3 linked regions of the Sus scrofa genome follow. The protein of the gene in region 2 interacts with the protein of the main gene of each other region in a pairwise test. Links are inferred from orthologs where the notes say so. Each region holds a gene or a part of one and is shown on either strand. Other genes may lie near its edges. The genes, in order: ERH, FAM208B and NEK6.

Region 1 (4,336 bases), on a different chromosome or scaffold from region 2:
ACAACCAAAACCCAAGCGAGAACCTGAAGGGAACATCTGAAACATCTTTTTTGTCTGAACATCATCCATCTCCTCCTCAACTCCCATTTAATAAATAAATAAATAAATAAATAAATAAATGTAAGGATTAATCCAATTTGTGATGATCCAATTTATGTGATCTCATCTGAAAAGTTTATTGAAGGCTAATACTTCCCTTCAGGGTGGTGCCATCTTATCAAATACACAATAAATTATACTGATTAGGTTCTACTTGCCTTTATTCACTGAGCTAATTATTTCCTAACAACATTCTTATGGACTGTAATCAGCTTTTAACTATGTTTATTTGCTTATAAGCAGATTTGGTTCTGTAGGCACTCCTGCCTGCCTTAACAACTTTATAGTGCTTAGTTTATCCAGAATATATAAGTGATAGCTGTAAAATACTTCCATAATACAACAAAATAACAATACATAACAGAATTTTACAGAACAATCAGAGGCTTGGGAAAGACATTCATTATATACAAGAGCTTGATAAGACAGCATGCATAATTAATATTTCAAGTATTCAACAAACATGGTCCTAAATATCTACTTTCCCTGCTCGAATTAACACCTCAAGAAATCTGGAGGAAAAAACAAACCTAGGTCCTAAATGAGACTCACCTTCCATGCATTCATTTACAGATTCATAGTCAGCATAAGTTCTGCCTTCTGGCCTCTTGGTAGGCTGTACCAGCAAAATGGTGTGAGACTGCAGGGGGAAAAGTGATTTTAATGTAAGTTTCTAACTTATACTTGAGAAATTCTTAGTATGAGATAAAATCTGCAACATGACACAAATGATCATTGGTTATTAAGCTGGATTCACAACTCCTCTGCAAGGTCTCTTACTCTTAATGGTTGTTTTCTCAAACTGTTATTACACTTACTGTCTGTAAGTATTCAGCATTAGCTACCTTGTACTGTTTATTTTTTTTCTTTTGCATCTTTCTTCCCAGCTGGATTGAAAACTTACTTAGGTTTTCTATCTCCACTGGTCTCTTTCTATCTCTAGCTGTATTAAGTCCCTAATAAAAACTCCTTGTCGTGGTGCAGCAGAAACAAATCCAATTAGGAAGCATGAGGTTGTGGTTAGATCCCTGGCCTTGCTCAGTGGGTTAAGGATCCTGCATCGTGAGCTGTGGTGTAGGTCACAGACAGGCTTGGATCCTGAATGCTGTGGCCGGCAGTTGTAGCTCCAATTCGACCCCTAGGCCTAAGAACTTGAATATGCTGCAGGTATGGCTCTAAAAAGGAAAATTAAAACAAATAAATAAATAAAAATTAATATAACATCACCTTAGAAAATCCATTAAATTATTCATCTTGGAGATGACTCACCTTAAGGGGTGAGGGTTGATGTACTTTTATCTTTATTTATTTATTTATTTATTTAGTCTGTTTAGGACTGCAAGTGCAGCACATGGAAGTTCCCAGGCTAGGCTTCAAATCAGAGCTGTAGCTGCTGGCCTACGCCGCAGCCACAGCAACTCAGGATCTGAGCCACATCTGTGACCTACACCACAGCTCACAGCAATACGGGATCCTTAACCCACTGAGCGAGGCCAGGGATCAAACCTGAGTCCTCATGGATACTAATTGCTTCGCCCAAACTATCAAAAAAGAAAAAAGATGGGGGCAGAGAGAAGAAAAAGAAACTAAAGTTGTTCAGTAAGGGCAACAAAATTTAAGACTTCTGAACCAGTAACTGTTGACTTTAAATACAAACTCCAGTTTTTAATTCTACTCGGAATTAAAGAACTAATCATAGATATCTGCTCAATGCGAATGGGTTGTTACTAACTGCTGTCTTTTTCTCAGATTTAATCTAAGTATTTTAACACAACTGACCAAACAGTGACATAAAAGGAAGGAAACTCACTGAGATGAAATGACATACCCAAGGTCACATTATTATTTATAATAAACCAAGAATTGAAAACCCAGTCTTCTAATTCCTAGTCCTCCTTGGGAGACTATGTTGGGTCAAACACTGAAGTATCTCCATTCAGAGAAGTACATGAAAAAGTTCCTTGTTAATAACAGATGCATAATCTGTTAATAACTGTGGCAAACTGAAAACGAAAACTAAAGTATGGAAGTAATCATGATTCTTCAGAATCCCTGAGAGCATTTCCTTTTTGTGAATTACAAAACACACACACATAAGCAAAAGAAAACCCCAAAAAAACAAAACCGACCAAACAACACCCCCCGCCCCCATCCACTACACTACCGACCCAGGTTCTAAGCAACCTGGACCCTCAGCTCAACCTATCTTTTCAACTTCCAGCCCCAAAGAATATAAATAAGGATAAAAAGAGGATTGAAGGCTAAGGGAAGCACAAAACCAAGCATGTACATCTCAGAAAAGAGAAAAGGTTGCACGTATTTTCAAAAAGGCAGAGCACAGAAAACAAAGGGAATAGCTGAGCACGCTGCAAAGACGATTCCTCCTGGCCCACACTTTGGGTGCTGTAAGCTTGGGGAGAGACAGGATTGTCAGACATCTCTCGCCCATTGTTCCTACAGTAAGATAGAGCGTTTGCAGAGACAGGTCAGCATCCCAACGCCGGGTTCTACCAAGCAGCAATAGGGAGAAAGCGCATCCTCCGCACCGCACGCCTTGCCGGAGCCATCAGGCTGGCGCGCAACCGCAGGGCGGACCGGGGCTCAGCGGCCTAGTGCCAGGCCCAGCGTTTCCGCGGCGGGAAGGGGAAGGATCGATCTACAGGCTGGAGAGCCGAGCAATAGCATGCGCGCGCTAGACCGCGTTGGGAGAAGATGTACGAGCAGGGGTCGCCCCAGAGGTTGGGGGCTCGGGGAGCCGCTTAGGCCTTTCTCACCATCGCGCCGATCCCTTTTCCTGCAGCCGCTGCCGACACTGCTGCAGCACACGAGCTTAGCCGCAACGCCGCCAACAGCCAATCCCCGCGAGAGGAGCCGCCGGAAGTCGTCAGAAGGGCACCGCGAAAGAACCTTTTGAACCATAGAGGCTCCTTTATTTCCGGCAGCTAGAGCAGATGTTGACTCTGTTTCAGCCATTTTGAATAAGGGCGACGAGACATAGAGAGAATGTATCGGAACTTAAAAAAAATCATATTTCTTTCCAAGAATCTGTCTTCCTCGCTTTCGCTGTAAGACATGAGGCTACAGTGATCATCGGTTTAAACAGTTACACAAGTCATTTTTTCAATGGCCCTACTCAAAAATGGCGGCAATATAAGAATCCCGGGGCATAGGTCGGTTGCAACCCGGAAGTACCCTTCTAAAGGAGGGGGCAGTAAGGCAATCCGGAAGTGGATGTAAAGAAGAGATGCCACTTGGCGGCCATGGCAGCTGTAGTACTGGTGGCTCCGGGTCAAGGCCCAGCAGAGTGGAGTAACATGGGTAGCACTGGGTATAGGGCAGAGACAGCTTTGTATCAGCTTCCCTGCTGAGCCCCTACGACCAATCGTTAGAGACCTGCAGGACTCCTTTCCTCATCCTAGACTCGGAGAGGAGTTTGCTGGGATTGGTGGGCTGGTCCCAGACCTGGAGGAATCACCGGCGGGGCTGCTCCAGGGAGATAGGGGCGCCCGGAGAACAAACATCTTCGCTTGGATTTTTCCTTTTGTTGCTGCCGCCCGGAACGTTGTGGAGGAAGTAGGCCTGTTATGCTACCCTTATAACAATGATTGAATAACTCGCTCATTCGCATATTTTCCCCCTGGACTTTTCTCATCTGTTAACCCACGAGAATCCAGTGACTGATATCTGAAAACTTAGGGGCTGCGACCTAAGATTGCTCAAAGTTCTCTCTGGTGCTAGTATCAACAAAAAGGGAGTGTTTCCAGGTACCTTCAAGAGAACAGTGCCTCGTGAACATATCTGCTGGTGGGGAGGACAAAAGAACTGGGAAGTCTACTTGTTCTGCTGAAACAACCACACGCGTTTAAGAACCTAAGTACCCTTTGAGACCACCGAAAATTTGTACTCTGGTGGTGGTGAGTGAATAAAGGAGGGCAGAATGGATGATTTCATCTCTATTAGTCTGCTGTCTCTGGCTATGTTGGTGGGATGTTACGTGGCTGGAATCATTCCTTTGGCTGTTAATTTCTCAGAGGTAAGAAATTCTCAATTTTCTGTCAGCTGTCAGCATGGCTGCTAGGAAGTAGTCATAGTTGTAAAGGGAAGCTGCTTCCCCTGTTGATATTAGAGCTGAAGGTTTTATATATCTCTCCAAAGATGCGTGATATTTAATAACAACCTCACATTCAGCACTAGTGTTCTTTAACCAGAGGTGGGTGGATCCACTGAAGATCCTGGA
Region 2 (2,842 bases):
AAAAAATAAAAAAATAAATGTTAAGTTTCGAGTCCATGTGAGCTTGTGTCTTGATTGTGAACCTGCATCCTAGGCTCGCTCTTGCCTTCACCATCTTCATCCAACTCCTTCCCCCCTCTGTTCTCCTGACACACCTGGCTCCCCAGGCATCGCTGTCAGGGTCCCCCCAAACAGCCCCCGTGTCCTCCCGCCTCTTGCAGACGCAGGTGTTTAAAACGTGGGGGCCTCGTTCCACCAGGAGGGACACGCGGGTGGCCTGGTGGGCCTCCGCTGATCCCCGAGGCCCTCTGCCTGCATCCCTCAGACCTGCAGCGGTTGCTCCCAAAGCACTCAGGTCCCTCCAAACCTAATTCTCTCCAGTCAGCGGGTCGCCAACTTCACCAACATCAGGCAACAGCTGGAATTTCCTTAATTTTTCTCACTTAATTTTTTTTGGTCTTTTTGCCATTTCTTGGGCCACTCCCGCAGCATAGGGAGGTTCCCAGGCCAGGGGTCGAATCGGAGCTGTAGCTGCCAGCCTCCGCCAGAGCCACAGCAACGCGGGCTCCGAGCCGCGTCTGCCACCTACACCACAGCTCACGGCAACGCCAGATCCTTCACCCACTGAGCGGGGCCAGGGATTGAACCCACAACCTCCTGGTTCCTAGTCGGATTCGTTAGCTACTGCGCCACGACAGGAACGCCTCACTTCACTTTAAATCGTGTTTCTACCTTCTGTGCTTCTGGAGGAAACGGGTCCATCTCTCCAGCCCCCTCCCTCGCTCGCACACGGTCCTGCTCGCTCGCGGGGAGGCCCCCGGCCACCTGCTCCCGCAGCTCTAATGACGACCTGTCAAGGAACCTGCTTGCAGGCTTCATCCTCAGCAGGTGTAAACTTCCATCACTGACACCACACTGTACCTGGTTGTGTTCTGTTTTTGTCTTTTTGCTTTTTCGGGCTGCACTCACGGCTTGTGGAGGTTCCCAGGCGAGGGGTCAAAATGGAGCGGCAGCTGCCGGCCTACACCACAGCCACAGCAATGCCAGATCCGAGCCGCATCTGTGACCCACACCCCAGCTCACGGCAGCGCCGGATCCTTCACCCGCTGAGAGGGGCCAGGGATCGAACCTCATGGATCCTAGTGGGTTTGTTACAGCTGAGCCAGAAGAACGCCCTGCCCTGTACCTGGTTTTAAGGTGCCCACTCTGACGCCCACCCGTCCAGCGCCCCAGCCCTCTCCCCTCGCCCTGGTCTCCGCGGTAGGAGCCTCGCTGTCTCCCGCCCCCCCTGCCACCTTCCCTCTCGCAGCTCCCACCGTCAGAGCCCAGCTCTCCACAGGCCCAGGCCTGGCTTCCAGGGGGCGGCGGCGCCGTGGGGGAAGCAGAAGGAACGTGTCAGCCAGAGACGAAGCCTCCCGACCTGCCGGTCAGGGGTCAGCTCTGCCGGCCTCTCTGCCTCCATCCCATGGCGTTAAAGTGGGTCTGTGTCTTCCTCCCCCGCGGGGACTTGCAACAGTCACGTGACAGACGCCTGTCACGTCGACGGAGCCCCTGGATGCCAGACTCTTTCTTACAAGCTGCAGGCACGTCCCTGACACCCAAGGGCCACCCACGGGCCCCGGATCTCTTCTTTTAAGGAGACGGGCCTGAGATAAAATGAAGGCTACAGCCTGGTCTCAACCTGCCTGTCCTTGTAAGTGTGGCAACGTAAGAGATCAAGAAACATGTCCAGGAGTTCCCGTCGTGGCGCAGTGGTTAACGAATCCGACTAGGAACCATGAGGTTGCGGTTCCGTCCCTGCCCTTGCTCAGTGGGTTAAGGATCCGGCGTTGCCGTGAGCTGTGGTGTAGGTTGCAGACGCGGCTCGGAACCCGCGTTGCTGTGGCTCTGGCGTAAGCCGGTGGCTACAGCTCCGATTAGACCCCTAGCCTGGGAACCTCCATATGCCGCGGGAGCGGCCCAAGAAATAGCAAAAAGACAAAAATAAATAAATAAATAAACATTAAAAAAAAGAAGAAAAAGAAACATGTCCAGAAGCAGCCCGCAGTTCAGTCTGCTCACTGCAGGGAGCAGAGCCTGAGCCCAACCACGGGGACCCCGCCGGGGGCCGTGTCGGGAGGCTCTGCGCTGCTGTCTAGGGAGGGCTCCTGCCTCGGCAGCAACACGGCCCTTCCCTCAGCCCTTCCCTCGCCGAGAGCCCCGCTGGCCAAACACTCCGAGGAGCAGCCACGGGCCCAGGCGCCGCCTTCGGCGACCCGCCGGCCCAGAGCGTGTCCGGGGGACCGGGGCTGGCCACCCACCCCCGGCCTCACCTTCCCCAAAGTGCTCACCTCACATCTTCTTTTAGCTTTTTAATCTCCCGGTAGTGAAGCAGCCACTTCCACCTGCCGCTGGCATTCAGTTTCTCGAGGATTCTGACAATCTCCTTCAGCTGAACTACAGAAGAGAGGAAGTTTGACGAGAGAAGATCTATGTTAGAATTTGCGGCTTGTCTGGTCAAAGCTCAGTGAGGACGCCTTGTGTTTGCAGCAACACCAGGTTCTTAACCCACTGAGCGAGGCCAGGGATGGAACCCGCATCCTCGCGGACACCGTGCCAGGTTCTTAACCCCATGATACGGACACGACCGTCGGGGCGACGGCAACAGAAATGGAGGAACGAGGGCCGATTCCAAACAGACATGGAGTGGACGTGATTGGGCGAAGGAGGAAACTGCTCATCTCACAACCGCCCGTGTGCCCGCACAGGAGCTCAGCCACAGTGCTGAGAGGTTTGGTGGCGAAGGGCCTGGGTTCAAACAAGAGGTGAGGGGCGCACCCCGGGACGGAGAGCCGCCGAACTAGCGACAGTGCTGAGCACGGCA
Region 3 (4,088 bases), on a different chromosome or scaffold from region 2:
CTTCTCTGTAAGATCAGGATAACAATCCTGGACCTTCGCAGGGTGCCAGACACCTGGGACACAGCCACGGTGGCTTTCCCGGTGCAGTGGGAAGACTATAGGCTCTGCTCAGTCAAGCCTGGGTTCAAATCCAAGGTCAAGTAACGGCCTATCAGCACATGATCTTCAGCATTTTATTCAATCTCTGTACCCTGGTTCCGTCCTCTGTAAAATAGGCATCATGATCGCTCCCATCTCTTGGTGTCGGTGAGTGGAGTGAATGAAACAGGCACTTAAAGCTTTTGGGGGTGTGCCTGGCACATGTTATACCCTCAGACAGTGGTGGCCGTGAACCATCAGTTGATAAAATTATGGACATCGTCTCATCTCTGGGCCTCAGTTTTCTCATCTGTGAAATGGAGATAATAACATCCGCCTCACAGTGAAAATTAAATGAGTGTGCTATGTTAAAACACTCGGAGGTGGGTCCGTGCACCTTCAGAAGGCAAATCCTGGTGCAAGGAAAAGGGGCTAGGTGTGAAGTCAGGCAGGTGACAGGGCTCCGCCTCCACTTCCTCAGCGGTCCCAGGACACGGTTCGCCTGCTCTGAGCCCTAATTTCCTTGTGCATATAAAACCAAAAGCCAGTCTCGACAGCCTGACTTCTGGGAACAGCGTGGCGCCCAGGACAGTGCCCGGCCCCAGTGGGGACTTCATAAATGTGACTTCCCTTCCCCGCTCCCTGGCTCCTTCCTCGCTTGAAGCCTCCAGAAGTGCCATCTGGCAAAGCCAGGAGCTCATTCGCTCGAAACCTGCGTGGCCCTATCCCCAGACCAACCTGAGCTGCTGCTTCAGTCTGAGACTTTATTTGGTGGCAGCAGAAACTACTTTTTAGTCATTTCCGAAGCAGACGGGACGGCAGAGGCTGACAAACCACAGGGACCATTTTAAATCCTGGGCCTTTCTTCTGGGAAGTTAGGCAAGAACCTTCCCAAATGTTTGCCCGTGGGGCTCTCTGCCAGGGAGTGACTCATTCATGGCTCCCCGCAGGCATATTTTATTTGGGGGTGGGGGATTGAGGGAGGAGGGCCTGGCCTTGCTGGGGGAAGGGAGGCAGCATTTCCAGCACACCCAGAGGTGGGTTTGGGGTTTTTTTTCCTTTCATTTTTTTTTAGGACCCCAAAGAAAAAGAACATGGGGCTTTTTTGTTTCCTTCCAGCTTTTGTTTGCGAAACGAAGACATCCAAAGTTCACTCCGTAAACTGCAGGGCGTTGGGAACAGGCGCTTCCAGCCGGCTCTGCATCCCTTTCAATGAAATTCTTCTTCCATTAACGCCACGGTTTTTAAATGTGCCTCCAAGGTTCGCCTGCGCACACACTGAGCTCCTAAGACGACATGTTCCCCTCAGAAAGGCAGGTTGAATTTTGACAATCCAGAGGAACTAGGGCGCTCCAGAGTTTCTAAAGTTTGCCTTAAAGCAATTAAGACTTTCGACTGCAGAGATTTCCAACATTTATAAAGCACACACACCAAAAAAAAACCTGTCAGTCAAAACTGCAAGGACAGACCCTGGAAAACAGTGTCCCAAGCCTGCTGTGATCAATTTACTGTCTTGGGGGCTCATACTTGGTGCTCAGGCTTGATACAAAGAATCAGATGAGTATCTATCTACTCTGCAAGGCAGGCAGAGAGAGACCCCTAGATAATACAGCCAAGTGTCTCTGGGCCCCTGGTCTCCCCAGGGTCAGCCACACCCCAGGCCTGGGGAAAGGGTTAAAATTCACCAGGGCCAGAAAGGGGCAAGAACAAAGCCAGGAGACCCAGAAGAGTATTTAGGAAAATGAATCCAAGTCCTCCAGGGCCAAGCTAAGCAGCTCCACCAGGCCCACCACAGCCCCACGGAGGGGCCTGCCAGTGGCCCTACCCAGGCCCCGCTGGGCTCTGCAATGTGACCTCTGGCCTCTCCTTCACCAAACAAGGCCCAGCACCCACTGGGTGCTCAGGCCGGGCCTGCTTCTCCACCAGCTCATCACACAGTAAGCCTGGGGGGCGCAAAGGGGACCCTCAGCCCCCAGAGTAAACATACTTGAACACTCCTGTACACAAAGTACACGCTCACAGCCACATGTGCACACTTTTGTCCTCATGGGCTCCTAAGTCCGCACACAAATCACTTGTGGGCACTCACTCGTGTGTGTGCGCACACATAGCCCCAGAACCCACACGTTCTCCGTCACAAAAATGAGATCCCACAAGAAGCATTTGGCACATAGTAAACACTCAATAAATGGACAAATGGCAGCCATGCCCACTCGCCCCGCACTCATTCACACCAAACCCCACGATCACAACGCTCCCATGTGCACACGCACCAACTCGGCCACAGGCACGCGCACACTCCTGCGAACACACCCGGAGGGACAGATGGACACGCCGCCCACGCACGCTCCGACGCACGGCCCGGGACACACTCAAGGCTCACGCGCGCCCCGACCTCCCGCGTGCACACCCGCCAGCTCTCCCCCGCGGAGCCTCGGGCGCGCGCGCGGGCGCGCGCACCCCCCTGCTCGGCCCGGGTGTGGGTGACTGCCCCGCCGCCCGGCCCCCGCCCCTTTCCCGGCCCGCGCCGGTCCGATCCGGCCGGGCCCCGGCCCCAGGTCACTCACCGGCTCGCAGGCGGGCTCGGCTGCGGGCTGAAGGACCCGCGCACGGACCGGCGGGCGGCCGGCAGGAGCAGTGGGTCCCACACGAGTTGGCGGCGCCGCGGCCGCACGCTGGTCCGCTGGGTTCCGCCGCCGCCTGCGCGGGCCCGCGTGCGCGCTCCCGCCCTCCCCGCCGCGGGGCCGCGCCGCCCCCTGCGCTCGTGCGCGCTGCCGCCACGCAGGCTCGGGGGGCGACGGGGCGGCGCCCTCTCCACGCGCGGATCTCCCACTCTCCCAAGCCCGCTTAGCTGAGGACCCCCTCCCCATTTTCAAGCTGGGGAAACTGAGGCCCAGACTCACCCAGCGAGTCAGGCCTAACATGTCTCCTTCTCAAGCTCTAGACATTTAGGATTAGCGTCTGCAGCCAGTCAACCCCCCTGGACCCCTGCCACGCCTCTTTGGGTACCCTTCCCCCGACATTGCTCCCACCATAGCCCTGGTCATGTGGATCTCGGCTCATCAACAAGCACTTATTTTGCGCCTGCTGAATGAGCCGCTGAAATAAGCTCCAAGGGTATCTCGATGTGTGAAGGTGCTGGTCCCTGCTCTCAGGGGCCAACGTCTCTTGTCTGGAGCTCCCCAATTCCTGTGAACCCCAAGACCGGTAAGTGTCAGTGTGCAGACGTTTCTGGAAGAAGATTCTACTGAGGAATGCTTATCACCCCCTCTAAGGAGACAGAGTCCACATGGGGGCCCAAAGGCAGCAGCTCAGTTCCCTGCTTCACTTCCTAGAAGGGCCCCCACCCCCCAAAAAAGGGGACCCTCCTGGCTCAGACAGTTATTGCATCCACACTTGCTGATGCTTCTCCTCACGTGCAAAACTGTGCTGTGTCCCCAAGGAGGGCAGGAACCAGAGACTGACGCTGACTGCCTGCCAGCTGCCCAGCTTGGTCAGGGCACGGTCCTGGGCACAGGGGGATGCCCACTGGGCCTTGTTTGCCCAGTGAGTGACCATGTTTCAAGTGGCTGTGATCTATGACAATAACGACACCAACTGAACACCCACTGTGTGCCAGACTCATGGCTGCACACTCTGCCTGGCTGGTGCCATTCGGTCCCACAGCCATTCTATGAAGAAGGCTTTAAGCTGCTTTTGAGCCCATTTTGCAGATGGGGTAAACGAGGCCTAGAAACGATGCTTAGAAAAGCAAAGTCTCTTGCCCAAAGGCACCCAGCTGGTAAGTGGTCGAGCTAGCAGTTGGACCACAGATTGTCTGATTCCAGTGTCTATGTCCCTAATCTAGATGGTGAACAGATCAGCTCTGTGCTGCTGATATAAGGAGGGGCCGACTGCTGATATAAGAGGAAACAGCCCTCCCACAAACCAACCCCGATGAGACAGATCATTCTGCAAACTGGTTAGTTGGGGATCTATTTACAACCTCACATCACATGATATACTTTATA

What was found.
Region 1: the proteins of FAM208B (region 2) and ERH interact in binary tests that used the Homo sapiens proteins (3 or more experiments, as listed by UniProt). The two-hybrid records come from large-scale screens. The link is inferred for Sus scrofa from reciprocal best matches to the Homo sapiens genes TASOR2 and ERH.
Region 3: the proteins of FAM208B (region 2) and NEK6 interact in binary tests that used the Homo sapiens proteins (3 or more experiments, as listed by UniProt). The link is inferred for Sus scrofa from reciprocal best matches to the Homo sapiens genes TASOR2 and NEK6.

Annotation. Positions count from the first base shown.
Region 1 is NC_010449.5:93,081,007-93,085,342, forward strand, and holds the start of ERH (enhancer of rudimentary homolog), read right to left. Parts: upstream 2,945-4,336; 5' UTR 2,877-2,944; coding exon 2,874-2,876; intron 740-2,873; coding exon 652-739; intron 1-651. Other genes in the region: SLC39A9 (zinc transporter ZIP9), read left to right, coding at 4,037-4,132. UniProt on the Homo sapiens protein: May have a role in the cell cycle.
Region 2 is NC_010452.4:65,199,634-65,202,475, forward strand, and holds part of FAM208B (protein FAM208B), read right to left. Parts: intron 2,416-2,842; coding exon 2,310-2,415; intron 1-2,309.
Region 3 is NC_010443.5:265,077,129-265,081,216, reverse strand, and holds the start of NEK6 (serine/threonine-protein kinase Nek6), read right to left. Parts: upstream 2,811-4,088; 5' UTR 2,646-2,810; intron 1-2,645. UniProt on the Homo sapiens protein: Protein kinase which plays an important role in mitotic cell cycle progression. Required for chromosome segregation at metaphase-anaphase transition, robust mitotic spindle formation and cytokinesis.